Linked DNA regions of Danio rerio. The protein of the gene in region 3 purifies or fractionates together with the protein of the main gene of each other region. This does not show direct contact. Links are inferred from orthologs where the notes say so. Each region holds a gene or a part of one and is shown on either strand. Other genes may lie near its edges. The genes, in order: tubgcp4, si:rp71-19m20.1, nedd1 and tubgcp3.

The links.
Region 1: the proteins of nedd1 (region 3) and tubgcp4 purify together in Homo sapiens (affinity purification with mass spectrometry; 3 studies listed by BioGRID and IntAct, with this or other methods). This does not show direct contact. The link is inferred for Danio rerio from reciprocal best matches to the Homo sapiens genes NEDD1 and TUBGCP4.
Region 2: the proteins of nedd1 (region 3) and si:rp71-19m20.1 purify together in Homo sapiens (co-immunoprecipitation; 3 studies listed by BioGRID and IntAct, counting the BioPlex papers as one, with this or other methods). This does not show direct contact. The link is inferred for Danio rerio from reciprocal best matches to the Homo sapiens genes NEDD1 and C10orf88.
Region 4: the proteins of nedd1 (region 3) and tubgcp3 purify together in Homo sapiens (affinity purification with mass spectrometry; 3 studies listed by BioGRID and IntAct, with this or other methods). This does not show direct contact. The link is inferred for Danio rerio from reciprocal best matches to the Homo sapiens genes NEDD1 and TUBGCP3.

What each region holds. Positions count from the first base shown.
Region 1 is NC_133182.1:54,551,179-54,559,172, forward strand, and holds the start of tubgcp4 (gamma-tubulin complex component 4), read right to left. Parts: upstream 5,050-7,994; 5' UTR 4,892-5,049; coding exon 4,814-4,891; intron 1,284-4,813; exon of another isoform or gene 1,266-1,283; coding exon 1,137-1,265; intron 1,056-1,136; coding exon 933-1,055; intron 845-932; coding exon 791-844; intron 1-790. Other genes in the region: cdkn2aip (CDKN2A-interacting protein), read left to right, coding at 5,680-5,924. UniProt on the Homo sapiens protein: Component of the gamma-tubulin ring complex (gTuRC) which mediates microtubule nucleation.
Region 2 is NC_133187.1:11,907,794-11,915,305, reverse strand, and holds part of si:rp71-19m20.1 (ATPase PAAT), read right to left. Parts: intron 4,193-7,512; coding exon 3,989-4,192; intron 1,739-3,988; coding exon 1,666-1,738; intron 1,594-1,665; coding exon 1,393-1,593; intron 1-1,392. UniProt on the Homo sapiens protein: ATPase that regulates mitochondrial ABC transporters ABCB7, ABCB8/MITOSUR and ABCB10. Regulates mitochondrial ferric concentration and heme biosynthesis and plays a role in the maintenance of mitochondrial homeostasis and cell survival.
Region 3 is NC_133200.1:20,783,878-20,791,227, reverse strand, and holds part of nedd1 (protein NEDD1), read right to left. Parts: intron 6,810-7,350; coding exon 6,608-6,809; intron 5,236-6,607; coding exon 5,079-5,235; intron 4,963-5,078; coding exon 4,831-4,962; intron 4,738-4,830; coding exon 4,699-4,737; intron 4,623-4,698; coding exon 4,518-4,622; intron 4,424-4,517; coding exon 4,379-4,423; intron 4,289-4,378; coding exon 4,119-4,288; intron 3,598-4,118; coding exon 3,402-3,597; intron 2,575-3,401; coding exon of another isoform or gene 2,574-2,574; coding exon 2,483-2,573; intron 419-2,482; coding exon 352-418; intron 250-351; coding exon 145-249; 3' UTR 1-144. UniProt on the Homo sapiens protein: Required for mitosis progression. Promotes the nucleation of microtubules from the spindle.
Region 4 is NC_133176.1:49,708,813-49,716,989, reverse strand, and holds the start of tubgcp3 (gamma-tubulin complex component 3), read right to left. Parts: upstream 5,181-8,177; coding exon 5,105-5,180; intron 2,867-5,104; coding exon 2,759-2,866; intron 1,867-2,758; coding exon 1,799-1,866; intron 1,683-1,798; coding exon 1,599-1,682; intron 1,188-1,598; coding exon 972-1,187; intron 1-971. UniProt on the Homo sapiens protein: Component of the gamma-tubulin ring complex (gTuRC) which mediates microtubule nucleation.

The DNA.
Region 1 (7,994 bases), on a different chromosome or scaffold from region 3:
AAAATAAATAAAATAAAAAATAAAATAATATATCTATTTCTATTTCATTGTTTTATATATTGTTTTATATAAATATTTGATGTAAAAGTGAATCAAAGTAATCATTATTATTCTCATCATTTTATAAATGATCATTATTGTTAATATCAAGTATATTGTGTGGACTAATATTATTGTATAATCCATTATTTTTTTTCTTGTAACACAAATCCATTTTAATCAATTTTGTTTGTGTGTGTGTGTGTGTGTCTGTATATATATTTATATATTAGTCAGAATTATTAGCCTCCCCCCATTTAATTCTTTTTGCTTTACAAATATGTTTAACAGAGCAAGAAAATTTTCACAGTATGTCTGATAATATTGTTGTCGATAGTCTACAGAACACTTTAAGCTGTATAGAAGTGTCTGTATAAAAATAAAACATTATTTACTGTCATCATGGCAAATACAAAATAAATCATTTATTAGAAATAAGTTTATTAAAACTATTATTGTTGAAAACTATTATTGTGTTGAAAAAATTGTCTCTCCGTTAAACAAATTAGGGAAAAAGGGGGGCTTATAATTTAAAATATAAAAATATAATAAATATACTAAACTAATTAAAAATGGATTTGTGTTACAAGACAGAAAATAATGGTTTACGCATATGTAAATAAAGTGGTTTTAAGAGAGTTATTTATTTAACTTAAACTTTTGAACTTGAACTTTTGAACTTTAGCTTGAAAGCATGAATCAGACAATTAAGCATGTATCAGATGATTGGGTGCATGAGTTGTTTTTTTACCTGTTCCAGCATGTAGTTGACATGAGAAATAGAGAGGTGTGGATCACCAAGAAACTGTTAAGCAAATTATTCATATTTAATGTCCAACATAATCTGCAAATACCAGCATAAATACTTAATGTGTAAACTCCAAATGTGAAACCTCTTTTTCAAGGTCCAGTAAAGCCTGCCGATAAGGCTGCAGCATAGAGTGGAGGCCAGTACAGAAGGCCCGCAGGTAAATGCCATGAAGCCCAGACTGACTCGGCTGACTGGAATAGTGCTCCTGTCAGACAAGAAGAAATCTTCTGCTATTATGTGCTTACTATGTTATTAACACACTGTATGCAGAGTAAATGCAGATTACCTGTTGATGAACATGACCCGTGTGTTGCTCTATGAATTCTGTGAAGCGCACGTAGTCAGTGCCCATTTTACATAATCGATTAAGGACACTGGTTTCGCTAGGGTGAAGGAACGGCAGGTCCTGGGACACCTGTCATCATCAACAACACTTCATCATGGTTATAAAATTTTAAATGACTATTAAATAGTGACTATTGGGTGAAAATTGGCGACACAGTGGCGCAGTAGGTAGTGCTGTCGCCTCGCAGCAAGAAGGTTGCTGGTTCGAGCCTCGGCTCAGTTGGCATTTCTGTGTGGAGTTTGCATATTATCCCTGCGTTCGCGTGGGTTTCTTCCGGGTGCTCCGGTTTTCCCCACAGTCCAAAGACATGTGGTACAGGTGAATTGGGTAGGCTAAATTGTCTGTAGTGTATGAGTGTGTGTGTGAATGACTGTGTGTGGATGTTTTCCAGAGATTGGTTGTGGCTGGAAGGGCATCCACAGCGTAAAAACGTGCTAGATAAGTTGGCAGTTCATTCCGCTGTGGCGACCCCAGATTAATAAAGGGACTAAGCTGACAAGGCTTAATGCCTTTATTAATCCGGGGTCACCACAGCGGAATGAACTGCCAACTTATCCAGCACATGTTTTATGCAGCGGATACCCTTCCAGCTGCAACCGATCTTTGGGAAACAATCATACACACTCATACACTATTGACAACTTTGCCTACCCAATTAACCTGCACCACATGTCTTTGGACTGTGGGGGAAACCGGAGCACCCGGTTGAAAACCTACGCAAACGCAGGGAGAACATGCAAACTCCACACAGAAACGCCAACTGACCCAGCCAAGGCTCAAACCAGCGATCTTCTTGCTGTAAGGAGACAGCACTACCTACTGCGCCACTGCATCGCCCAAAATATATTCAATAAACGATAATATTGTCATTTAAGACCATTTTATGATACTCATTATATAATGCTAGAATGACAATACAATATCATCAACAATGCAAGAACCTGTGAAAACGCATATCCGAAATAACTAATATTAAATGTTAACAAAAAAGTGCTAATGAAGGTAAAAAGTAATGATATCTGCTACCAGGGGCCTGTTTCAGTAAAGAGGTTCAAACAACTCAGAGTTTAAACTTGAACTCTGAGTTGATTTACCGAGAGATTAAAAACTCAGAGTTTTCGGTTTCAGAACAGCTGATCTGAGTTGGGTCAATCAACTTCGAGTAGACCAACTCAGAGTTAAGCGCGCGCACCGTGACTATAAAAAGGCATTATCAGTGGAGCGCAGACATTACGAGTGACTATGGCAATATCTTATAAAAGAGATCACCATTTCTTTCTCCAGCTGAACTTGATGTTCTCATGCAAAGTTATAGCAAATATGAGTGTATATATTTGAAAAGAAGCAGCCACCAACCAGTTAGCGTGGGAAAACAGCTGCTCAAGATAATGCCTAATTTAACTTTTTAAGTATTTAAATATTTAAGTATAATAAAATAAGTAATGTAATTTGTGACGTTTATATATTTTTTCTAAACTTTCTTTTATACATTTATTAGTTTTAAATGATTTAACAGTGCACTTGTGTGTCTGCCTTTTTTATTGATCAAGTGATAGAGGTTAATATAACATTTAGAAGGTAAGCAGTACTAAAAATAATTTTTAGAAAGAATAATAATCCCATTAATCTAGTTACATGCATATCGAAGGTGAATTCAATTTAATTATTTATTAAAAAAGCATAAGCCATTCTCGTACAGTTCTTCTGTGTGTGACTAAAATAAAGGCAATAGCTATGTTTCCATCCAAATATATTACATAAATTTATGTGCAAGACTGGAATATTGCATAAAAGATGCGAATAAAATTCCATCCAACGAGTCAAAGAGAAAAAAATTGTCACTTCCTGATTTAACTGGCACCAAATATCAACAGTAAAAACAGAATTTACTGTGGTAGAAGAAGCTGCGTCAATTAATTCTTTATTTAGCCTAATTAATGTACTTGTGCCTCGATGTCAGAAGACAATGCTGAAACACAATGAACACGTGGGGGCGTCTGAAGCCATGAGACGCGGAGTCTCTTGACACGCACCAGACGTTCGGAGGTAATTAATAATATACACTAATACTGAAACAGTTAAGGCATTTTAGAATGACTAAAACAATATTTAAGACGTGTTACAGTGTGCCCAGCCTGCTGGTTTGTTCATTTACACACATTTTCATTATCATATGATCATGATCTTTTTTTAATGTACATACTGTAATTTGTTCAGTAAAAGTGTTTCCATCGTAGTTTATGCGCACATTTTCTATCGAATAAAAGTTTACCCTACTCAGTTATGTGCGTTTTTTATGCATATTTTAAAAAGTTATGTGCATCATGACGTTTCTATCAATCGTTTTTATGCACGTATCCAAAATGAGCATTAAAAAAGGTGGGTGGAAACGTAAGGCTAAGGCGAGAAATACCGCTTCATCTTTAAAAAAAGGGGAGGAGACAGACAGAAACTCTGAGTTTAGAGAATAAAACCTGCTTCTGACCAGGTTAGATTCACAGAGTAAGTTACCACAGTAACTGACTCTGAGTTAAAGTTAACTCTCTTTCAGAAACAGGCTTGACTTACCCTGATTTCTCGAGTTTAACAAACCTGCCATTTTGAAACCGAAAACCCAGAGTTTCTCTCATTTCAGGGTTAAAATACTCTGAGTTTTCAGTTAACCTCCTTTCTGAAACAGGCCCCAGATCTATTTTCAGTTGTCAGACACCCACATGAAAATACTAGTGTTTTTTAATCACACTGACACCTTCAGCTAAATCAGCTAAAATGTTGCTAGAATTGTTTTTGAATTATGGACTATATATTGCATCACTAAAAACGATTGAGGTCATGTCCATGTGTTGTGCAATAACTCGATATATTGATTATTGTGACAGGCCTAATATAAATACAAAACAGATTTTTTTAACCCTTTTTTTTGTTCTGAAACAAAAGTTTTTTTTACACCATCATGTAACGCATTAACTAATACTTACTGACAATACCTTATTGAAAATTTTTACCTATTGAACCTTATTAAATGTAATAAAATTTCTGCAATTTAATTAGTTTGACACATTTGTTTACTCAAAATATTTATATTAATACACGTTTGTTATTATATCTGATAAAAAATGACATTCTTACAACTTGTGTCAATATTATGATTAAAGATTCTACAGTTATTGCAATATGAAAACTTGATGCTGTCATATGCCGGGTATGCATAATACACCATCGTAATACACCTTATGAATATTTTTAATACCATAGTATTCTGCAAAAAACGTACCTATCAGGGTAACCCTAACGTTACTTCACATGAAGCAAAAAGACCATGTAGCAACCCCAAATTGATTATAGTGACTATAACGATAAAACATAATGATAAAACAACTAACGTTATGGTTACAATTACACTTATACCACTACGGACCATTTTCGTGAGATACAGTGGGGTGTTTTGTACATTCACATTATATAAAAAAAACACTTGTAACGTTAAGTCGGGTTTAAAAATAGTCGTTCTTTTCCATACAGTCGTTATCTAAATGATTCAGTATGTTATACACATAAACGCTCATACATATAAGTTACAATTTTAGATGAATCACTGACAGAACTGCACAAAATACCTGCAATCCATTGCGTTTGTTCCAGGTAAATATGGTGCCAGGATATCCACTCAAAGCCAACAGCAACTCGTGAATCATTTTTCTAGTGTTATTACATTGATAGCGTATAAAAACAACGCATACGATAACAAAAATACAGGCAGTAAGTTGTCATCGTTATTATTTTCGCACCGCCAAAAGCTCCGTCGCATATTGATGACGCATATCCCAAGCGCGACAGGGGAAGCGCTCAGTCTGCTCTTCTACACTCTCGATAAATGCAGTATATTTACTACTACATATCGCTAATGAGGACTTGTCTTTGGAGAGTATTTTAGAGGTAAACAGCGCTTATTTCCTCTTAAGAATCGGTTGCGGAGTGTTTTGTGGTTACAGTTATATTACATTTGTTGATTGATTGCCCTTCGACTATCATCACAATAAAGTTGAGATAAATACATGTCAGTCAATACAGGTGCGCAAAATCGTAATTTTAAGGCACTTATACAATGCGTTGGGTATTAATATTAATATTTAATGAACTATAAAATGTAAACAAGCTTAAAACTATATTAAACTAAACACTGAGTACGCTGATATACATTCATATATTTGTGTGTGTGTGTGTGTGTGTACACACACACACACACACACACACACACACACATATATATATATATATATTATTTTATTTTATTATATATTTATAAACATTCTGTTGTATATGTGTTATGTGTCTAGTCTGCAGTCTTACCAACCACAATTGAACTGTTTGTTTGCCTGTTGCTGGCAAAAGCACAGATTTACAATCCTCATGCTTGAAGCTGCTTGGTAGGACATTATGAACTTCTCCAAGTAACTTTTGATAGTTTTCCTTGTTTTCAGTGATGGCGGCAAGAAGAGGAGAGGACATTGTCTCTGAGTTCCTCAGTCAGAATCCACATTTGGTGAGCTGGGTGGAATCTTTAAGAGGACACTGTGAGACAAATAAACAGTGGTATGCCAGGAGAGAGTTTGTGCTGCGGAATATGGAGGCTTTTCCTACCATCCAACCTGGGAGTCCAAGTTCTAGTCTGGACAGACTGCTGTCTCTATCCATGGTTTGGGCCAACCATGTATTTTTAGGCTGTCGGTAATTGCCAGTTTATTATGGATTTTTTCAGTTGTTGTAGTTCTTGTTGATTTAAAATTCTCACTAAATCCAAGTTTTTTTTGTTGTCAAGTTTGTTAAATAATTAGAACTGGATTACACTATACTGTTCTATAAAGTTTGGGTTCAACAAGGCTAAACTGAATGGATCAAAATACCCAGCAAGCGTTTTTGTTTCTAAAAGATGACCTATAGATGTCTAATAGATGATTAAATATAGTGATCTTGGCTAAAACAAGGCTAAATTTGGGCTGTCAGTGGAAAAAGTAATCAACATCTAAGAATAGCTTAAAACTCAACCTTTTGCAAGCTGCCCCCCCCCCTTTTTTTTAGGCTTGTGCAGCTTCTCGAGGAGAAATCAAACAAATGAGCGCCGTTTCCTAAAGTCTATGAGCGCAGCACACACAAATAAACTAAATTGACATACTGCAGTTACATCTCAAAATGTAGCTAAGTAAAATTTAGTTCAGCAACATGCATCACACGACCTCACAACCAAGAGAGCTGACAATTGACCATAACTTAATTTACCATCACCTCACGATTAAAAAGTGACACTGATTACATACAGGGTTCACAGACACAGCCTAATGAAAATCAAGGATTTTTAAGCACTTTTTATTATATATTAATAATCTAATAAACCTGCACTAAATGTGCTTGTGCATATTTTATTTTATTTGTTGATGTTCTTTCACAGATGGAAAGAGAACAGAATACTTGTATATATAATACTTGTATGTTATAATACAATTACACTGCAAAAATAATACACGTTTTAGTAAATAATACTAATGTTTTACAAATTACTCTTTTAAAAAAAACTACTCTGAGTACTAGTTTATTACTTTTGAAAAAAAAAAGATTTTCCATCATGGCCCTTTTAAGTATAAAATTATTTAAATGGTTTAATTGCTTAAATCACAAGGCTACACATAGTAATTTGCACTAACAAAGTATGGTCGATTTTTCCTTTCATGACAATGAATCATTTTTAATAGGACTGGCAAAACTACCACATACTCTTAAGGCCATAGAGACACTTTTTGTCCATTTTTAAACAATACTTTCAAGATTTGAAATGTTTAATCAAAGTATATGATGAAAATATTTAAATGTGGGGTTTATTTACATATTTTACACAGTTTTTCTTATTTGCTCATTGTTGTCTATACAAAATTTTATTTTAGGCTTAATCTTAAACTAAATAATTTTAGAAAAAAGACAAGAACACTGTCAGTAGTAAATTAATAAAATATATGACTTCGTTTCACCTGAGGTATTTGAAATACAACACTACATTTCTTAAAGTTTTTTAAGGTTGTTTATTTTGATAAATGTAACAGATTGCTTTTACCTGTACCTGCACAATAATACCTCAATCAAACATTTTTAGCAACTCTTTTGTATGAAATAAAATTTCCACCTTTGCTAAAAGTACTGGTAGGCTAAGTTTCACTTTACAATACAGCCAAATAAATCCGTTAGCATTGTCACCGGTCATGCATCAATCTAATTCTAAATACTTGATAGTTTTTTACGTTTTTTTAAAGTTTAGTCAAAGAGCAAAGATAAATAATTTCTACTTCTAAGAGATCGCGATTGTATAGTTTGAGTGCACACACGCGGTGACAAGATCATGAGAGGACTTGCAGTTCATTTGAAAAAGCTTATTCAAGAGCTAGCATATTCGCATTTAGCGATTAACGTACATGACTGCGCTCGTTTTATAATAAAGCACTCGCGACATTTGCAGAAATGAAAAATTGCGCAATACCTGCATTCCCGCGCCGCCATTCAGACTGTATAGTCGTCAAATAGTAAACAGGAACTAATAACTACAGATTTAAAAAAGTCTGTATAATGGCTATTTTGGGCTATTCTTAGATGATTATTAGATTTTTGCTGACCCAGATTTAGCCTTTTTTTAGCCAAGCTGTTTAAATTTTATGTCTATTAGACATTTATTAAACAAAATTTGTTTGCTGGGTTATTAGTAAAGATGTTTTGGTCGTTACAAAAGAATTCAGACTCAACCAAATGTTGTTTGGC
Region 2 (7,512 bases), on a different chromosome or scaffold from region 3:
GGTGCATTTTGATTATAGCATAGAAAACTATTGCATATTGAATAATAAGCTTTAATATAATTTAATATTTTTTTAATATAAGCCTATTGAATAATAGGGTGAATGCCGAAGCATGCTAATAGGACTTTTAATTTGCCAGTAACCTGGGTTAAGCGCTTCCGGTGAACTGTATGCCAATGCAAAAACCGGCGCGTTTAAGGGCTGTTTTCTTTAAAAATCAGCGATCTCCACTAGCCGAGTGATATCCGATATAAAGTGGGTCTCAGATTGTACAAGAAGCACTGCATTAAATTTCATTTCCCCTGCCATATCTTTATAATGTGAGCATTTATTTTACCCTAGTATATTCAATGGAGCTTCTGCGCTAGCCTGCCAATTCTGAGGGCGCCTGCGAGTAAACGGCTTTTTGTCTCGTTTTAAGCTTGAGCAACTAAATGACTGCCAAAGTTTATTTAACTGAATGTATTTTAATGACATTACAACATCCATGCTGTAAAAGGAACCATATAAAATGGAAAAAAGTTCACAATAACAGGTCACCGGAAGTTTATCAGTTTGGGAAAAACACTAGCTCGGCATACACCCCATTTGTTTATTACTACAGTTGAGTCATGTCACAGGAACATTATAATTACTACGAAGTGTAATTCAAGTAATAATCTATTGTATGCTTTCAAACAATAAAGTATTTACTGTAGTATTTGTTCATGTAACATAATAGCTTATACAGTATATACCGCCTCGATGACAGGCTAATATATTTCAGTTTAGTAGAAACTGGGCTCTCTTCATGATAGAAGGATCATGTCCAACATATGTGGTTATTTTCCATTAATATGGAAAATATAAACCATAAATATGGTTTAAATCGCAAAAATACAGACATTCCTCTATGTCTCCCATTCAATTTTTTACTTCCTGCCCCCCATCTGAATTTTGTATGTCATCAGAACCATGATTGAAAACAACCTATTGGTCATAGTGCTAAAGAGATTCTGTATATCTTTTTTGTTTGTATAAAAGCAGCTGTATGTAGTAAAAAGATGCCAAGCTACTTGTCAGATTTAAACCAAATTTGTCCAAATGATAAAAAGGGTCTAATTTAAAAAGTCTATTATAAACTCATCTATTTTAACAGGAGGGTAGCTTTAAATAGATATCAACCCATCTATAATCATCCTAAATTACTTCAATTTGTTACAACTAAAAGAATTTTATTTTTACTTTTTCAACTAAAATTATTACTGAAAACAGTAATAAAGTAATATAAAAAAATACTATTTATTATTTAATTTAATATATTTTCATTATTATTCCTCTGTATAATATCAATCCTATTAAATCTGCCCAGTGCAGTGGTGATTATGCTGTAATAAGAGACTGAGACCAGACCTTTTGCTGGCACTGCACCAGCTCCAATAGATTTTGTGCTCCCGGTGAAAGGGTGGTGCCCATCTCCTCCATCATGGCCTGCACCTGCTGAAGGTCAATGCCTGGCTCTACTCTCGGCCCACCTTGTCTGCCCTTCAGTGTCTCCAGTCCCACACAAACATGAGCGACAGACACAGAGGAGCGGCCACCGAGAGACAGCAGCTGTACAAACACATCATATATCAGTTTGAATGCCTGCAATGAAAGTGTGGATTTACTTCTCACATTTCTTACCTTCACCTCACAGGACACAGCAGGGCTTTCCAGAATCAGATTATTCCTGTAGAAATGCCTCTCTTCTTCAGAACTGCCACAAAATAGAGCAAACCATCAGGGTAATCACATTTAACTTAAAAGAAAACCCAAAAAACAAATTCATTTTGTGAGGTGGAATATAATTAATTACATTTTCTTGTTTGACAAAAACTAAAAATAACAAAAACTAGTCTGAATTAATAGCCCACTTTATTTTTTATTTTTTCATTTTCAAATATTTTCCAAATGATGTTTAACAGAGAAAGGAAATTTTCAAAGTAGGCCTGATAATATTTTTTCTTCTGGAGAAAGTCTTATTTGTTTTATTTCGGCTGGAATAAAAGCAGTTTTCAATTTTTTAAACACCATTTTAAGGTCAAAATTATTAGCCCTTTTAAGCTAGTTTTTTTTTCTATTGTCTACAGAACAAACCATCCTTATACAGTAACTTGCCTAATTACCCTAACTTGCCTGGTTAACCTAATTAACCAAGTTAAGCGTTTAAGTGTCACTTTAAGCTGAATACTAGTGCCTTGAAAAATATCTAGTCAAATATTATTTACTGTCATCATGGCAAATTTATAAAATAAATCAGTTATTAGAAATAAGTTAGTTTTAGTTAAAACTTTATTGTCCGTTCTGCTTGACACAGAAAGGAAATTTTTCTTCAACACTGGATTTAGGACAACAATTACAAACATACAACTACGATACAATCACACTTATCAAGACATCAACATAAGTTAAAAGTTTAAAAACCAAATTAGCCCCATGCACAATACTGCAAATCATTCTTGGTAACCACCTCATCCACTACAAACATTGATCCGGTTTAGAACAACAACTGCCATTGGGATAAATGACTTTTTATAGGCATTTCTTCGTGCTTTATTAATTCTAAACCTGCGTCCTGATGGTAGAAATTCAAATGCTAAGTAAAGGGGATGTGTATTATCTTAAAAATCACAACTGCTCTTTTTTCCATAAAAGAGTCAAATAAAATCTGCAATGAATTATTAAAACTATTGTTTAGAAATGTGTTGAAAAAATCTGCTCTCCGTTAAGCAAAAATTGGGGAAAATATAAACAGGGGGGGCTCATAATTCTGACTTCAACTGTAGATATTTGCATTATAAAAACGGCAAATTCAAAGTAATTACAGCTTCGGAGAAGAATTAAAAGACTACTTGAAAAATCATTGGATTTGTTAGATATGAGTTTAAGTAAAATTTTAATATGTTGCACTCAACAACAGTCTGATAAATTTAACTGATGAAAATGTTGAGCAGAAAAGGACAACTGGTAATAATTGATTTAGTGTAATAAAAAATTAGGGTTATTCCAGCAAAAATTGATTTCTTTACTTTTTCTTAACGTCTAAATGTTGAAGTTGTGCTTAAAAATAGACAAACACTAAATGACAACTTTTTTATTTTAAATTTGCAAGAAAAGTCTGAAGTTGCTTAATTACAAAAAAAAAATCTGAAATTATTAAAAGTAAAAATGTACATGCTGTCTTTTTTCATTAGCTGTGTATGTGTGTATTTGTTTGCTATTTAACTAAATTAGCTTACTATTTAAAAAATGTATTATTTCAAATTGCATGCAAATAAGAGCGAAAAGTTCATGAAATCTGAGATCTGTATATTATGTTACATCAGAAGTGTATTTCTATGTGTATTACACTTTGAGAAAAAAAAATTGGTAGTTGTTAAACATAGCCTATATCAATAAGAGCATGATATAATAATAATAATAATAATAATAATAATAATAATAATAATAATAATAATAATAATTTAACAACTTAACTGTCGCCCCCACTTTTTGCACATATGAAAATGACGTTCAACTTAAATGTCTTCAATGCCTTGGTCAATAGATTTAAGCTTGGTCTTATTTTAAAGAAGACAGAAGGCAGAAGTTGAAATGTCGATTAAAATAAAAGTTATGTGCCTTCATTGTTTATGAATACATTACATACAATATGTATTTTATGTTTTGAAAAATGGCAGAAAATCTAATTATCTGAACCACTCATATTTCAAATTAGAAGCTTTTAGTAAGATTTTATTTGGCTTGGCTGCAAGATCAATTATCAGGACCAGATGACATCCAGTTTCCATTGGTGACCATATTGACCTTATATATATTTTTTAATCTATTACTCTTCCTACATAACAAAAAAGTGATGAAATATGTATTTAAAAGTCTTAGACCTTCCACTGATATATAGTTTGTCATGACATGATTAGGATTTAATTGAGTAAGTTTAGTAAAGTAAACTTAAGCATTCGCATACATATACCCATTAGTGTGTGATATTTGAACTTCCTCTCCACGGCAGGTGCCGCAGTATTCTCCAGACAGCGAGTACACTTCAATAGTGCGGGCTTCACTGACCACCTGAAGACTGCTGATCGCAGACGCAGAGCCGGGTGAACACTGAAGTGTGACGACACACGGTGAGTCCTCTTCTGCTCTCTCCAGACAGACAGCTTCATTCCTAGGAGAAATGCATGTGCAAATACAGTCACAAAAACACTTCATGGGAAGAGTCATGGCCTAATGTTTAAAGAGTTGGACTTGTGAAGGTCACAGGCTCGAGTCCTGGCACCGGCAGAGATGGTAGGTGGTAAGAGTGAATAACCAGTGCTCTCACCACTTATAATACCATGGCTAAGAGGAGTCCCTTGAGCAAGGCACAGAACCCCCAACTGCTCTAGGTGTGTGTTCATGGTGTGTCTGTTCACTGCACTTGGATGAGTTAAAGGCTGAGCACAAATTCCAAGTATAATGAGTCACCATACTTGGCCACATGTCACAACTTTCCTTCATATTCCAATTATTTATTTACCTACTTATTTACTTGTTTGCTTCTCCTGGTGTTAAATGTTGTTTTATATTTTTTCTAAAGGTGTCTAAAGGGATAGTTCAAAAACAGGTGAAAATTCTGCCATTATTTCCTCACCATCCACATCCAAACCTGCTCAAGTTTCTTTTTTTCTGTTAAACAGAGATGCAGATATTTTAAAGAATGTGAGCTACTTCAGATGTTAAAAGAATAGTTCACACAAAAATGAAAATTCACTTACCCTCAAGAGGTTTCAATCCTTTATGATGTTCTTTATTCTGCTGAACACAAAAGAAGATATTTTTAAGATTTTTGACTATGAAAGTCAACGCTTACAGGTTTTTAGCTTTCTTCAAAATATATTCTTTTGTGTTCAACAGAGGAAAAAAACTTGTGAATGTTTGGAACTGCCTTGAGGGTGAGTCAATAGTGAGTACATTTGATTTTTGGGTGAACTATCACTTTAATACAGGCGTGTCCAAACTACGGCCCGCGGGCCATCTGTGGCCCGCAATCAGTTTTGTGGCGGCCCGCGAGGCTTTTTATAAATATCAATAGAATCTGGCCCGCTATACAAAAATGAACGCAATTCAATAAATAACCACCGGGTGTCGCTATTACATGCATTCAATTAAGCAGCAGTTCTTGTTATGATCTATCTATCTATCTATCTATCTATCTATCTATCTATCTATCTATCTATCTATCTATCTATCTATCTATCTATCTATCTATTTATCTATCTATCTATCTATCTATCTATCTATCTATCTATCTATCTATCCACACACAGTTGAAGTCTGAATTATTAGCCCCTCTTTGATTTATTTCTTCTTTTTTAAATATTTCCCAAATGATGTTTAACAGAGCAAGGACATTTTTACCATATGTCTGATAATATTTTTTCTTTTGGAGAAAGACTTTTGTTTTATTTCGGCTTGAATAAAAAGCTGTTTAAATTTTTTTATGAACCATTTTAAGGTCAAAATTATTAGCCCTTTAAGTCTTCAGAACAAACCATTGTTATAAAATAACTTGCCTAATTACCTTAACTTAACTAGTTAACTTGATTAACCTAGTTAAGCCTTTAAATGTCACTTTAAGCTGTATTGAAGTGTCTTAAAAATATCTAGTCAAATATTATTTACTGTCATCATGGCAAAGATAAAATAAATCAGTTATTAGAAATGAGTTACTAAAACTAATATGTTTAGAAATGTGTGGAAAAAAATCTTCTCTTCGTTAAACAGAAATTGGGGAAAAAATAAACGGGGGCTAATAATTTAGGGGGGCTAACAATTCTGACTTCAACTGTATGTATATATATGTATGTGTATATATATATATATATATATATATATATATATATATATATATATATATATATATATATATATATATATATATATATATATATATATATACACACGTGTCTGTGTGATGTATGTAAAATTTGGCCCGCGACAACGTTTGTCTTTTTGCATCTGGCCCTCGGCCCAAAAAGTTTGGACACCCCTGCTTTAATAGCTTCAAAAGGATTTCAAACCTTCTTCAAGATCAGATATCTACTATTCTGTCCATATTGTTCTGTGTTCAACCAAATATACAAATGCATAAAGGTTTGAAACCACTTGAGGCTTAGACAACTTTCATTTTATGAACTAATCCTTTAATTTTAAGAATGTTTTAGGTAGGGGTGTGAACCTACACTGGTCTCATGATTTGTTCAGTTACAATTATCATGCTGTTGATTCCGTTCAATTTGATATCTCGGTACATCACGGTGCATTGACGATGCTTTCCATACAGAATTAGATTTTTTCTTCAAAACACAAGATTTTGTTTTTATTAAAATCTATAAATATATTTATATTTTTATATTATTTGTAATACAATTTTGTCCTTAAATAAACGCAGTAAGATATATAAACTGTACTTTTAATTTTACTTGCTCAAAGAAAAATCTTTTTGAATGTTTAGACAATATTCCAGTACATGCACAGAAAACAACATGAGCATTTATAGGAAATAGACTAATGTAAATATTATCCATCTTGCCTTCTGAGCGCTGTCAAGTTCTTACACTCCTATGATTGGTCACTGTCTTCACCCGCTCAATAGAGAAGGCTGCGATTAGCTTTGAAAATGAAAGCGTTGTTCACCGATGAGTGACGTGGGAAGAACAACCGCAGTTACAGTCTATTTGCGCATAATACGCGTTTATCACAGGTACTCCATAATAGTGGAGTGGAGAAAACTTGCACCACTGGCAAGCTCGTGTCTGGATCCACAAGTATCGCTGTAACAGCCGCGAGGAGAGGAAAAGTTACCTCAAGTACACGTCAGCGGGTCAAATGTCCAAAGTGAGAAAGAGGCAGAGATGGAGTTTTACAGCATTTCTCGCTAGTAGTGAAACAGCAGTTTGTGTGCTGTACATTCTTCAGTGTCAAAGAAAGACTGTCCACCAAACTCACAAGCAGTGAATTGTGCACAATTATCTGCTTTTTAAGTAGTTGGAGCATTTTAATTTCTCGCCCTCGCCTCCTTTGCCATAGTATTCTACAGCGACATAGCGCATAGGAGATAAATGTCGCCACTACGTAATAACCGGTTATGATCTATTACTGAACCAATATTGAACCATCTGCATCTGCATCGCAGTGCATCAAAGAAACAATTTATTTTGAAACTCAAGTTTTAGGATTAACTTAACAAAGGTTAGTCAATTATTAATGAGTGCATTTTGGATTTAAAGTGGACCTATTATGCAAAAATCACTTTTAGAAGGGGGTAAAGCACAGTTGTGTGAATTTAGCCAGCCTCTAATAATAAACTTTAATTAATTCTAATTTTAAGAAGAAACACTTTGGCTGACATTTTCCCTTTGTATGTCATCGGAGGGGGAAAGTCTCACCTATTAGTGATGACCTCATCCCTCGCTCATTAGCATAGAAAGCTCTGTGCAAGCAGCA
Region 3 (7,350 bases):
GAAAACAAAATGAGTTCTTTTCATTTCCATCTGTTTTTATGGCATAGAAATCTTACAAAAACACTCTTCATGAGCTGAAGCGGATATAAAAGTGTGCCGATATGACAAACAGAGTGAAGGCACTGGCAGACGCATGAGCCTGCTCTAATAGTTGGCTCGTAGTCTTTTGTTTTCCTCTTTCAGTCTTTCGATCTCTTCGACGAGCGAGTCGTTCACGGAGTATTTCTCAATCAGACCGTGGATTTCATTCTGGAAAAGATGAGTGGTGTTATTATTAGGGTTGTAATATTCAGCTTTATTTCATTTTCTGGCTGCTTCAAGAATAATGGTTTGTGAAAGAGACCGAGTTACCAACTGGATGTAGAACTGGCGAACCATCTCCACCTGTAGATTGATGATGTCTCGATGACACGTGTCTCTGTGTATAACAGTCAAACTGTATCAGTCTTTTCACACTCAGAAACCGTAAATACATAAACAGGACATACTAATGTATAATATGTATATATACTGTATATAGGTTTAATGTTTGTGTTAGTCTTAGATTTATTTTTAATGTTTATATATTGTTTGAATAGTTTTCGATGACCAACATGTTACTTTTATTTTCAATTTATCAAAACTGACAGTTTTAGTAATAGATTGCAGTTATATACACTCACCGGCCACTTTATTAGGTACACCTGTCCAACTGCTCGTTAACACAAAATTTCTAATCAGCCAATCACATGGCAGCAGCTCAATGCATTTAGGCATGTAGACATGATCAAGACGATCTGCTGCAGTTCAAACCGAGCATCAGAATGGGGAAGAAAGGTGATTTAAGAGAGTTTGAATGTGGCATGGTTGTTATTGCCAGACAGGCTGGTCTGTGTATTTCAGAAACTGCTGATCTACTGGGATTTTCATGCACAACCATCTCTAGAGTTTACAAAGAATACTCTGAAACGGAGAAACTATCCAGTGAGCTGCAATTCTGTGTGTGCAAATGCCTCGTTGATGCCAGAGGTCAGAGGAGAATGGCCAGACTGGTTTAAGCTGATAGAAAGGCAACAATATACAGAAGAGCATCTCTGAACCCACAACACGTCCAACCTTGAGGCGGATGGGCTACAGCAGCAGAAGACCACACCGGGTGTAACTCCTTTTAGCTAATAACAGGAAACTGAGGCTGCAATTCGCACAGGCCCAGCAAAATTGTACAATAGAAGATTGGAAAAACGTTACCAAGTCTGATGAGTCTCAATTTCTGCTGCAACATTCAGATGGTAGAGTCAGAATTTGGCATCACAAACATGAAAGCAGGGATCTATCCTGCCTTGTATAAGGGATATTTTCTTGGCACACTTTGGGTCCACTGGAACCAATTGAGCATCGTGTCATTGCCTCAGCCTACCACTGTATTGTTGTTGATCATGTCCATCCCTTTATGATCACAGTGTACTCATCTTCTGTTGCCTGCTTCCAGCAAAATAATGTGCCATGTCATAAAGCGCAAATCATCTCAGACTGGTTTCTTGAACATGACAATGAGTTTACTGAACTTAAATGGCCTCCACAGTCACCAGAGCTCAATCCAATTGAGCACCTTTGGGATGTGGTGGAATGTGAAATTTGCATCATGGATTGCAGCCGACAAATCTGCAGTAACTGCTGTGATGCTTTCATGTCAATATGGACTTAAAATCTCTGAGGAATATTCCCAGTACCTTGTTAAATCTCTGCCATGAAGGATCAAGGCAGTTCTGAAGGCAAAAGGGGGTCAACCCGGTACTAGTACGGTGTACCTAATAAAGTGGCCTGTGAGCATTTACCACATATAGTTTTTTTTGTCCTGGATTTATTTGAAATGTGCAAATAGTTTTTAGAAAGTTTTATTTTTAAATTTTGCAGTAAATGAATTTAAAAACTAAATGAAAATGTGCATTTCAGAGTCAACTAGACTATTAACTTCTACATTTTTGCCAGTTTTTATGGTTTCAGATTTAATTAAAAACATGAACTATAATGTTGTTTACACTACTGGTCAAAAGTACTTTATTCACCAAAGATGCATTACATTTCATCAAAAGGGAAAGTTTAACAAAGAACCCCGAGTTTTTTTCAAAAGGATTTTATAAGAAACGTTTCTTCAGCAAATCTGCATATTAGAATGATTTCTGAAGGATTGTGCGACAGAAACATCAAGATATTAATAAAGAATGTTTTATTTGAAGTCATTTGTGTTGACATATTTTTAGGTACATTTCATTTAAAGAAAGCCAAAAATCAGCTTCATGGTTTTAGCTTTAGTTAAAGAGATGTAACTTTCCTCGGTTCATTCACACTCAAGTGGTTCTAAACGTTTATAAATTCCTTTCTTCGGTTCACAAAACAACATATTCTGAAAAAAGCAGCCACTGACATCAATAGCAGGAACAAAAAATACTGGAAATCAATGGCAGCCGCTTTCCAACATTGTGTTAAATATGCAGTGGCTCACCTGAAGTCCTCCAGTGCCTCATGAATCATGTTACGGACAAAGTTCATCTGTACAGAAGTGAGTGGAGCAGAATCCACTGCTGCGGCTGGAGCTGAGGAGAAACACACATTTCATCATATTTAAACCTCTTCAAGCTGAAGGCCATGACATACTTAAAGGGACAGTTTACGCAAAGCTGAAAGTCCTAGTCATCATTTACTCTCCTTTCACTTGTTCCAAACTTGTTTGTGTTTCTTTATTTTGAACACGAAGGCAGAGATGAAAAATGTTCGGAAACAACAGACATCGACTTCCATAGTATTACTTTGTTCCTATGGATGTCAATGGCAGCTCTTTTCCCCAATATTTTCTTCAGAATATCTTGTTTGTGTTCAACAAAAAGTTTGGACCGATTAAGTGCGAGTAAATGAAAAGGACATTTTCTTTATTTTGGTGAACTATCCACTTAAAGCAAAATCCATTGTTTAGTTTAAACCGTCAGAAAAAAAATGAGTCAAAAATAAGTCTTTCTATAAAAGTTAAACAATCTTGATTTCCCTTTGAAATGTAGATATATGGACATTATATACATAAAAAGTAGAGCAGTTTTAATCTCTAAAAATCAATTGAAGTGAACTGGACCGGAAGTGTCCCGTCAAAAACATTTAAATGGCGGCACCCACTCGTACATGCAGAATAAAGTCAATAAAGCATGTGCTATCCCGCTGGTGCCATTTGGATTAGCTTTTTGACAGATTTATGCACTTTTGAAAGCTTTAAAAATGAGCCACTGTCCATCATTATACCGCATGGAAGAGCCAGGACAAAATGTCAACCTACTCCAACTGTGTTCATCTGACAAAAGAAAGTCATATTCAAAGATAATGGTCATTCAATGATGGTGACGTTTTCATTTGTGTGTGAACTTTAGTAAGCATACCAGCAGCAGCAGCAGCAGGAGGAGCAGGAGCTCTGCTGATGGGGGAATCATATGTGAGCTGTGTGGAAAGATCTCTCCTCTGACTGGGCTCTGGTGTGTTGAACTGAGGCTGAACAGACTGAATTCGCGTGCTCTGAGCTGCAGGCGGTGTGGTGATGGCATCATACTCCTGCCGTACACCGTTACTCTTCTCCACCTGTCAACAACACAGAGAAACAACTCAATTTATGTTTCCACAGCGAACTGAACCAACAATTATTCCAGCATATGTTATACACAGCGGATATCCTTCCTGCGACAACCCAGTACTGGAAAACACCCATATGCTCTCCAATTCACACACACACTCATATGCTACAGCCAGTTTAAATCACAGCGCATGTCTTTAGACTGGGGGAAATCAAAGGAAACCTACGCGAACACAGCGAGAACATGCAAACTCCACAGAGAAATGCCAATTGACCCAGCCGGGACTCGAACCAGCAACCTTCTTGTTGTGAGGCAACAGTGCTAACCAATTAATACTATTCTATTACACTATTAGTAAATATGTTATTTAATGAATTTAACGACTTTTAACTAAATTTGAAAAGGCTCGCAAATTTACTTTATATTATTTAAAAAAATAATAACAATATGATATAATATTTTCAGCTAAGTGAAGACAAAATGTTTAGTTTTTTTATTACAGTGCATCCCTAATGTTAAACAATGGACCTTGGTGCCGTTCTGGACATCAGTCTGCTGTGGAGGGGTAGTGGTGGACTCCTCTTCTTTGATTGGTGGAGTCTGCACCACAGACGGACTGTAGCAGCGGCTGCCAGGAGTGCCCAACGGAGTCTTCCTCTGGGATGAGCCTCCAGGGAAATGAGGTAGATATTCAAAGTCTAGTAATGCAGAAAGAGGTCAAAGTAGAACTTTATTATTTTAAGCTCATTACGGTTGATGAAAATAAAATGAAGTTTGTAGCAGCTTGCCTTTCTTTCCACTTGATACATCACTCAGTCTGTGCCCTTTGTAATCTAGAGAGATGAGGTTTAATAGGTCATTAATTAGTAAAATAAATGTAAAAAAAAAAATCTCGACAACTCCGAGGTGGTGCAAAAGTATCCTCACCGTCTCGTACAGGTGAAAAGATGTCCAGGCTGTTTCTGCCGACTCTGAAGCGGTCAGCGGTCTGCTGTCCTTCTGCTTCCCTTGAGAAAACATCTATACTGCCGCCTAGAAACAACATCAACATACTCATAATCTCTTCAAATCTGCCATATTTAACTGAACATCATTAAATAATCCTCACCATTTCTTGAAGTATCAGCAAAGCCATGTGATTTAAAACCTGATGGAAAAGCAGATGATTTAACTTATTATTCTATACTTATTATTAGTAATTAAGAATAAGCAGAGAGATATAGAGCACAGTGCATTGTACCATCATTTAGAGGGGAGAAAATGTCCAGGTTTAAACTATTTCGTCCGATGCTGCTGAATTTCTCAACATTGGGCATCTGATCTTGACTGAGCTGACCCTCTGCCTCTCGAGAAAACACCTCAGCAGATGGACCTGAAACACAACACCTTATTATTGTTATTATTAAACTATTACAACAGCTAAAAACAGGGCTTTAAAATGCCAGCTAAGAAATAAAACAGTCTCTAGTCACAAAGAGTAAATCTAACCTGGGACTTGGGCTTGACCATCTCCAGGAAACTCAGATCCGGAAACAATGGGTGGGACAGTAGATGTTGGGGTGGAGGGTCCCGTCTGCTGACTGCTGCCCAGCTTGACTGAGATCCTTTTATTTGATTGAGAAGACTTGCTGGATGATTTGGTGGACTGTAACAAGAGTCAGAACTATAAATAAACTGATGAATGAAGGGGCTATGCTTCGTATTAATGAGAACTAAGAAAACTATATAAAACTTAGGCTATTTAAATAAAATTTTATTTAAAAAAATAATAATAAAAAAAAATCACAATTTCTATTATTAACATATATATATTTTTTTTATTAATCAGGGGTATTAAAAATATTATTAAAATATTATTTAAAATATTTAAAAATAATTTTATTTATAATTATATTTTATATTTAATATTAAAATTATAAATATACTTAATAATTTTATTAAAAACTGCACAAAATGCAAACTCCAAGAGTATTTTTAAACTACATGTTTATTACATTTAAGAAATGATACATGGACATTTATTAAGTTTTTATTAAATTTTATTAAAAAATAGAACATAATTCTGACTTCAACTGTATATTGTAAGACTTGTCAAAATCAGAAAAAGATTTGATTAAAACAAAATTAAAAATTTTGTAATATGAAACTTGACATTGATGTGAGGGGGCAGAGCTTGCAAAAACTAAGTACTATTTCAGAATGAATAAAGAATTAATCAATGTCCATGGGGGTTTCAAAATTATAAATAAAAAGTACATTTTAAAAAATGATTAGAATTTTATTTATTAAATTCAAACCAATTAAATAAAACAAAAAATATTTTCATATAAAAAACACTGCACAAAATACAAACTCTAAGAGTACTTTTTAAAAAAACGTTCAAAATATTAATAGTTAAATGAATTAAACGAGGTAAATTCATGTTAAAAAAATATTAAAAAGTTACTTAATTATTTTAAAAGAATTAAATAAATAATTGCTTTAGATCAAATGTACGGTATGTTACATACATTAACCATAACTTAAAGTAAATAAAAAAACAATTTACAACAAAAATACAAAACATAAATAAAAGTATACTTTAATCATAATTCCAGTATTCACTACTGAAACTGTTTAATAAGTAGTTTTAAAAAGATATGGTTAAAAATATATTAACGTAAAAACCTACATGAATGAAAACTATTAAATAAACTAATTTCATATAAAACACGCTGCAAAATTAAAACATTCTTAGAATCATCTGAATGATTAAAAGCAGATTACGCATATAAATATTATCATAAATATTATCAGTATTTAATTTAATACATTAATTAATTGAAAAATAATGAATATTTAATACATTAATTAATACAATACACATTACAGTCCACAATCTTCGATGCATTTTTGTCCCTGTGCCCACAGATTTTTGTTACAGTGATAAGAACATGAGTAAATTCAACATAAGCAAACCCATGTAAGGCTGGTTGAGTAGAAATTTGTTGACGGACACATAGTAGATGCAGCTGTACCTTTAACTTGGAGGTGGAGTTCTGGAAGCGAATGCACGTCACTGAGGTCTTGTGAGCTGTGTTAATTTTGACCGGTGCGCTGAGGTTTCTCAGGTCATACAGGTAGATTCGGCCCTGCGTTGAGCCCACGACCAGTCCAGCTCCATCAGGAGTAAAATCAATAGCTGTGAGTGGAGATTCCACCTGCTTATTACGAAACACTCTGTGGAGAAATTAACACATTCAACTGATTCAGAAAACAGCTTCAAGTCAAACTCCAAACAGCATATTAAATCAATGCTGTTGTGACAGTATCACCATCTACTGGCCTGGCATCCATATTACAGCATTCTGTGTCTGTCATGAGCTTGTGAGAATAGAGATCAACTTTGATGCAGTTGTAATCTTTAAGTGAACATTTTCCAACATTGTAAATGTACCCAAGAATCGTGTTTATTTATATAGTTTCAGTTTAAAAATAGATGTGAAAATGCACTATGCAGCTTTTTATTTTTTAAAATTGCCATTTAGTTTTGTTATTTAACAAAATGTTTTTTTAACAAAGAAATGTGTGAATAAATAACATTTATTCATTTATAAATTGTCTTAATTAATTTTGTTAGAAATATAATAAAAGAATCATATTGTGAATAGTATTGTGAATCATATCAAATTTCTAATTAGGTGAATCATTACATCCTTAATAAAAACATATAAATGTTTCAAGCGAATAAAATGGGGTAAAATTGCTATAGAATGTTTAT
Region 4 (8,177 bases), on a different chromosome or scaffold from region 3:
ATAAAAATTTACCTCATGATGCTGTATGTTAAATTCTAGAACAAAAAGTCCAACTCTAAGGCTGCGGTGAAAGAAATATTTGTCTTTTTCACCACATAAATTTTCGAGACACATTCTCGTTGCCCATTAGCAAAACCAGTGGGAATTCACTAATTACCACATAATGGCACGCTTTAAACAAATAATGACATTGAGCTCTGGACACTTTAATGATGTTGTTTGCTCTGACAGATTTACTGTGAAATGGATCCGGTAATCAATTAATTCAGGAGCTTGGAGGACATGGCCATATTTAAAATATCTTAAGTGCTGCAGGTGCTAGACAAATGCATTAATAATAGATGAGTGTGCGGCAGTTCAATTAAACGTGCGACAAATACAACAGCTGTATAATTGAAAAGATAATTATGAAAAGGGGAGGGAAGGAGAGAGAGAAACCCTTATGTTTTGTCATAGACTTTATAAAGGATTATATGAAGCAATTCAACAGAAGCTGAATAAGAATGACACAACAACTGTTCACAGGAGAGAAAATTCAGCTAGATCTTTTCTTACAACATTTTTTAAACCACCTATAGAACCACTGAATTATTTTATGTACAAAAATAAGTTGGGAATTATTGCCGTCTATGGAGGATGAGGGAGCTCTCAGATTTCCCTTAATTATATTCATTTATAATATGTAATATTTGAGAAGTATGCTTTAAGATCATTCATATAAAATTCTACGTACCAACACAATGATTTCTATATGCAAATACTTGCTGTGTTATACTGTATTTTACTTATTGTATAAAAAAATACATACATATATACATATATGTATATATTTTATGCCGAAATTATTATATCGAAATTATGTCATTCCATTTTTTTTTTTTTTTCGAAGTGTATTTTTTAAGCTTCCCCAAGAATGACGACTTCCACTGCTGAGAAAGCTGCAAATATGAAAAAGGTTTATTGTCTGCAACTGACCCAGTAAGCAAAGATGGTGGGGTCGGTCCAGGCCCATTAATAGAAAACACCCCCATACTGCTGATTCCACTGGTAGCCATGCTGGAGTTATGAGCTGTGGCGGAGCGCTCTGGGTAGCTGAGTGGGAGACTCTGAGGACGGGCATAGTAGAACGGTGTGGAGTGAACATCACGGGGCAAAGCCTGAGCAAGCAGAGCTCCATAACTACACACCTGTAGACAGAAAACAAGATTACTTCTGCGCTTATACACAAAATCCCTTTAAGGCAAGTCATTTTACTCGAAGACCATCTTTGAAATGCCTTGTATGCTGAGGTATTCTGTTTGAATGGGGTAACATCAAATTCTCTAAAAATGCTTGCCAAGCTTAAGATTTAATTTCAAATTAGGAATCATCAATGAATACACCCCCCCCCCCCCCTTCCCCCAAAGAATCGTCAGTCTATATCGATTGCTGATTGTCTCCTGTACTAGAAGACGGGGCTTCATTCGTCATATTGACCTTTACACTTTTCGCCATTCAAAACTATAAGAGCGACACGTCTTGTGTATTCTATAGCCTTTGTTATACATCATGTAAAGTTATATTTCATATCACTGAGTCTGTAAAATAGGATTTCATACAGGAACCCGGCCGGATGGTTTCCTTGGGTCCTCACAGAGGCTGAGCAGGAGGTATAAGATGGACCATCTGTGTTTCAATACACCCTGTTGAACAGAAACAACTGAATCAACATACAACATCTAACAATCTAACGATCATTATATCTGATCCGTGCACCACGGCTAGCTGGGAAATAATGAGAATAATGATCGATTCTGACCTGGGTCTGAAGCTTTCTGTGCAACTCAGAGAAAAGGGCTGCATCTGCTTCCCGCCTTTGTTTCAACACTGCAAGAATTCAGCAATAATCAACAATAAATGATGACACCAAAATATAAAGTTTTTCTTTTTAATGCAGCTATTATTAAAGGGCATTTTTGACAGAATTGTCTCTACGCCGATAGGTCCAGGGCTGGATTATTACTAATGACAACATGGTGGAATAATTATGCATAGTCAGTAAAGGAACAAAGAAAAGTAACAGACAATAAACACACAGTAAATACATTACAGTGGTTTTTGAATCGGGTTGTCTGCAATATTAATGATTTTTGTCAATCTTAATTCTGAAATTCTAGCTGACAGCATTATTTTGTGTTATTTTACTATAAAGAAAGTAGAACTGTAAATTTGACACAAAAATATGTATAATCTGGTACATACAGTGATCATTCTTTCAATATTTAAAAGTAACTTAAAAATGGATTTGATTATACATAACAATTATCCAACCTTGGAAAAGATAACTCAAGACAAAAATATGGTTAAAACCAATCATCAGTTAATCACAAATTATCGATATTATTCACAGTAAATTTGCTGATCAGTTGTATTTTTTTTATTCTGTTATACTGAACATTCAGAATTATGTTGATTTCATCATCTTACCAAAGTCCTAAATCTGATATTATGAATTTCTATGACTACATCTGCTGAAATTCCAGCTACTATAGCAGATTAACAATTCACCCTAATTTCTATTTTTCATGCGGAAACAAAGTTTAATATTATGTTTCTGAAATAAAATTCTTAAAACTTAATTCTCATATAATTTTACTTTTATTTTTTTTTTTTGTAGATTAATATAACAGGTCAAAAAAAAAAAACACAAAATATTTGTTTCAGGCCTTCTAAAAGCACATGTGCACAAAAAAAAGGATAGGGTTTCAACATCACTCACATTCTTTCTTAATTTTCTCAGACACCAAAAACTCGTCCCGTTCAATTGTGGGAGCGTAATTACTTCCAATGACCCGCACAGCGTACTGGAACTGATGGGCTACGTCAGCTGAGAACAAAAACAAACAAACATACATACATACATACATGAAGCAGATTTTACAGATTTTATTATGCCAAATGCCATTAATGTTAAACTAAATAAATAATAAAAAAAAGTCTAGCTGGTCATGAAATATTCTGAATTATTGACTGATAAAAATATGTTTTCAAAACGCTCCTTCTAATAACAATTGACTAATAATTTGTTAAAAACAGGTAATCAAATGTTTTTAACTTGGCTTCATCCAAAATTTAGATTTGTATGCTAAAAAATGTATAAAAATAGCACATTTCAATAAATAATGTCTCGTTTACAGGCAACCCTGATATTATTCAGAAAATCTGATAAATATTTGTTTCCACAATGATGCCTCTTGTACACCGTCTTATTATTTTTAGGGAGAAGTCTGTGTCATTTCAGGTCAAACTTATCTAGTCAAAAATATCTAGTCAAATATTATTTACTGTCATCATGACAAAGATAAAATAAATCAGTTATTAGAAATGAGTTATTGAAACTATTATGTTTAGAAATGTGTGAAAAAAATCTTCTCTTCATTAAACAGAAATTGGGGAAAAAATAAACAGGGGGGCTAATAACTCAGAGTGGCTAATAATTCTGACTTCAAATGCATTTATCTCATCTTTATAAAATGAAAGAAAGGACCATTCATTTGCCATCTCTACAGTTCACTGATAATCTGCTGATGAGCAATTCCATAAAAAATTTCAACAAATTAGCAAAACTCTTTCTAGTTTTTTTGTGTAGGCTTGTATTTTACAGTACTGTAAAATATTTTAAAAATGATCTGTCAATGTTTTCAAAGTTACATTGATTTACCAAAGTAATATAAGTGGTATTTTCACATCTATCACATCCATAATGGAGAGGCGTCATATCCAGATTCCATAACCAAGCTTTTTCCTCATAAATTTAAAAAATAAAAATAAAATAAAAATAATTGATGTATAGAGAGCCAACTCTTATCCTTATGAAATAACTTTGTTTCTTCTGTGCAGTTTAATTTCTACAAAGTATGTTGTTTACTATAAACTCGCTAACTTTTTGGTCACATCCATAAGTAACGCAAGTTTATTTTCCTCATTTGAATATGAAATATGTTTACATATTGATATTTTTCTGATCCCCTAACTCTGTGGTTAGTAGTTCTGGAAAATAGAAACAGACGTTTCAATATAAAATGAACATTTAGTTTCTATGTGAATTTATGTTTTGAGTTTTTACTGTAAATGTCACATCCATAACTCTGAAATTGCTCTGCTGTCTTCGGTTTCTGATCTGTTTTGTATCTTATGCAAACTCTCTGAGATGCAAGTCCTGTAGGTCTGGGATTCATTCATACGCACTAACTATAGAGGTAAAGTTGGTTTTATATATTCACACATTCAGACATTTTCCTTAATAATATAATTTTAGAAAAGTATTATTTGCAAATTCTAAATAGCAAAATTATACTAGCAGCCAATGACTATCAAAGTACAACATTGTTCACAGTCAAATAAACAGTGTTAATGTTGTTTTCAAGTCATACTTGGAGTTTTTTCGGACCAAATATTCAAAGAACCGTGATAAACAATATAGGAAGCGCGTCACAAGTTGTCACTGAACGAATGTGTGAATATAAAACCAACTTTACCTCAATGCACTAACTTATAGGAAAATGACAGCTGACATAAGGTGACACAAATCATCACAGGGTCTCTTTACTATTGAGGTAAAGTTAGTTTTGCAATCGCTCATGAGTGCATTTAACAGTCTCCATGTTGTTTACCACGCTACTTTGAATATTGGGTCTAAAATCGCATTTAAATATGACTTCAAAACAACATTAGCACCATTTCATTGATTGATTGAACACTTGATTGACCTTGATTGAACACTGTTGTACTTTGTTAGTCGTTGGCTGCTAATATGATTTGCCCATTATGAATTTGTGTATAATTATTTTCTGAAATTATATTACTAAGTAGTATGTCTGAATGTGCGATTGTTTTTAACCCCTATCTATTAACGCAAAGAGGCAGGGGCCCTGCGCTTTTCAGCATCTGCAAATGTTCACAAGATTACAGCATCTCATCGGTGCAGATCTGACCCTCAATCACGCATTTGATCGTATCACATTTTCAACGAAACAGCCACATACTCGCTCACATCCTGCACATGACGATCATGTTTAAGCGGCGGTATGACAGTGATGTAAAGGGATGAGATCTGAGTCTTTACCTTCGCTCTTGCCCGTGATCTTACAGCACAGGCTCTGCAGAAGCACGTTAGGGGATTTCTGATCAAGCGTCGCCATTGTGCGCTTATCTGTCGCCTCCGGTGCGGGCAGAAACGGTTAACGGTGTTTTTTTTTTAACCGCTGTCGCTTTCCATTCGATGGGCTTGAGCTCCTGGCAACAACAGCGCCATTTTAACGGAACCCGCCGAAAAGCGCCCACAGTCGGACAGTCAACGGAAAACACAGCAGCGGTGCGCAGCGGAGGAACGGTCGGCTGTGAAATGAGGCTGAGAAACAGGTTCCTCCGTACTAACATTGCCTAAGCATAAAATATAATAATAATAATTGCATTAGTTATACTGATATATTTGAGCGTTTTTTATCTCAATTATTTAATAACAGAAACGTTATTCTTACTAATAAAACCGGTATAGATAAACAGCTTTGAAAGGTGCACTGGGCTGTTTCTAAATTTTTGCAACCAAACAAATAATGACAAACAAACATTCTTAAATATTATTATTATAACACTTTAACCAAAAACAGCACCAATAATATCCCATATAGAAATTTCATATATGACAATATGCTAATTACATGTATGACATTCAAGTTCATATTTGGTTTTCCCTTATATAAAATGTCATATAGATCATTTTGAGGGATGTAAACAAAAACAATTGTGCCAACGTACTTCCTGTTTCACATTTTAAATTAAATTTCTATGGCTTTTGATTACCGAGAAAAGCCACTTATTGATAAATAATGTTATGACAGCAGTTTTAACCTTGTTATGATTGAATTGTTACAGTTTTGAAATAGTTTGATAAACTATTTTGACTACATTGAAATGGTCTATATCCAACACACACACACACACACACACACACACACACACAAACATATATATATATATATATATATATATATATATATATATATATATATATATATATATATATATATATATATATATATATATATATATAGATATATATATATAGATATATATAGATTAGATTAGATTTATAAATGGCATAATAATAAAACAAACATTTTTCAGTTGTTTTGGTGCATTTCTCAGATCAAAAATGATAATAAAAGCAGTTTCGTTTGAAAAAGTTGTGTTTGCTTTTGTAAGGTTACAATTATAGTGTGTAATTACGTATTAGCAGCAGTTGTGACCTAATGGTTAGAAAGTTGGACTTGTAATTAAAAGGTTGCAGGTTTGATTCCTTGTCCCGGAAAGATTTCTCCATCTTCGACACCCAGCTGAGATGCCATAACACCTAATTGCTCCCTGGCTGCTAGAAGCAAAAGTTGCCCATTGCTTTGGGTATATGCTCAGTGTGTATGTGTGTGTGCTCTAACTTCTCACTCGTGTGTGTGCACAGAGGACCAATTTAGTATTGGTACTTGACAATACTCACTTCACATTTGTCTGCGGTTGCTAATGCCATGTTGCTAAAAATGAATTTTTTAGTTTTAGTTTTTAATCCCCTTTAATAATCCCCTTTTTATTTATTTATTCCTCTTTATATCCATTATTAATCCGGGGTTGCAGCAGCGTAATAAACTGCCAACTTATCCAGCAAATGTATTATGCAGCGTATGCCCTTCCAGCTGCAACCCATCACTGGGAAACACCCATACACTCTCATTCACACACATACACTATGGACAATTTAGCTTACCCAATTCACCTAGCACATGTGTTAGCGCAACTGTGGGGAAAACAGAAGCATCCGAAGGAAACCCACGCGAACACAGAGAGAACATGCAAACTAAACAGAAATGCCAACTGACCCAGCCGAGGATTGAACCAGTGACTTTTTCTGTAAGAGGATTGCACTACCCACTGCGCCACTGTGATGCCGTTTTAGTTTTTAGTGTTTGCTTTTCTACAGTAATTTAGCATTTTGCATTTGTGCCCATATTTAATTTTCTTCTCATTATCCCTATGCCAATGTTATTTTATTTGTCAGACATGCAAAAGTGTACCTCTGAATCATATCCAGTTTCTTTTAATCAATATTCCACATATACAGTGATGTGTAAATTTGACATTTGAAATGGTAATATGACTTAGAGTAAGAAGAGAAGCATGTATTTCAGTTTTTCCAACTGTTGCCATAGTTTACAAAAACATAGTTCACTGTTGTATGTGTTTTATATTAATGGCACTGATGTTCCTTAACACATTTATGCATTTTAAGAGATTAGATTCTGAGTAAGTTATGTGCTTACTTATAACTAGGCAGGGTCTGGTGTGATAACCTTGTATAAAAATATCATGACTGCACAGTATTGTGATTACTGCATTAAAATATATTATTTTTAAATGTCTTCCCTTTGAACACACAATATATTTTATTTTGAGAAACATTTTAAATATTTTATAGCAGTAACATGTCAGGCTGAATAATTCAAACGGATTATTGACTTCTGCTGTCTTCATTAGTTTCAAAAACAGATGTCATTACAATTTAAAACTGCATTTTTGGAGATCTTTTCTGCTGGAGATACTGCTGTCCTAAAAACAAAACAAAAATTGTAAATAAAAAATCGTATACAAACCTTAAGGAATGGTTTAGCAGAAAATTTTGCCGGTTTAAAAAAAAAAAACTTTTCCAAACTGTGATAAACCTTGAAAATTGTCCTATGCATACTTATAATAAAGATCTTTCTAAAAACTGAAGAAGCTGAAATGACCAGCTTTGTATGAATTGAAATGAAGTTTGTATGAATGGCACACAGATATATAAACATGTCCACAGAACAACAACAACAACAACAATAATATAAAATTAACATACTAAAACCTGTGGTGAGACAGACAGATAGATTAATGAAAATCACTCACTTTCCTTCAGTTTATTCCCTGCTTTATCAGCAGGATGAACCGCCAATTAATCTGGCACATGTTTTACCAGCAGATACCCTTCCTGCCGCAACCCAGCCCAGAGAGGGCACCCTCAGTGCTAGATATACACAGATACAGCCAACTCAGTTCATCCAATTCACCTGTACCACATGTCTTGGTACTGTGGTGGAAACCGGAGCACACCAAGCACA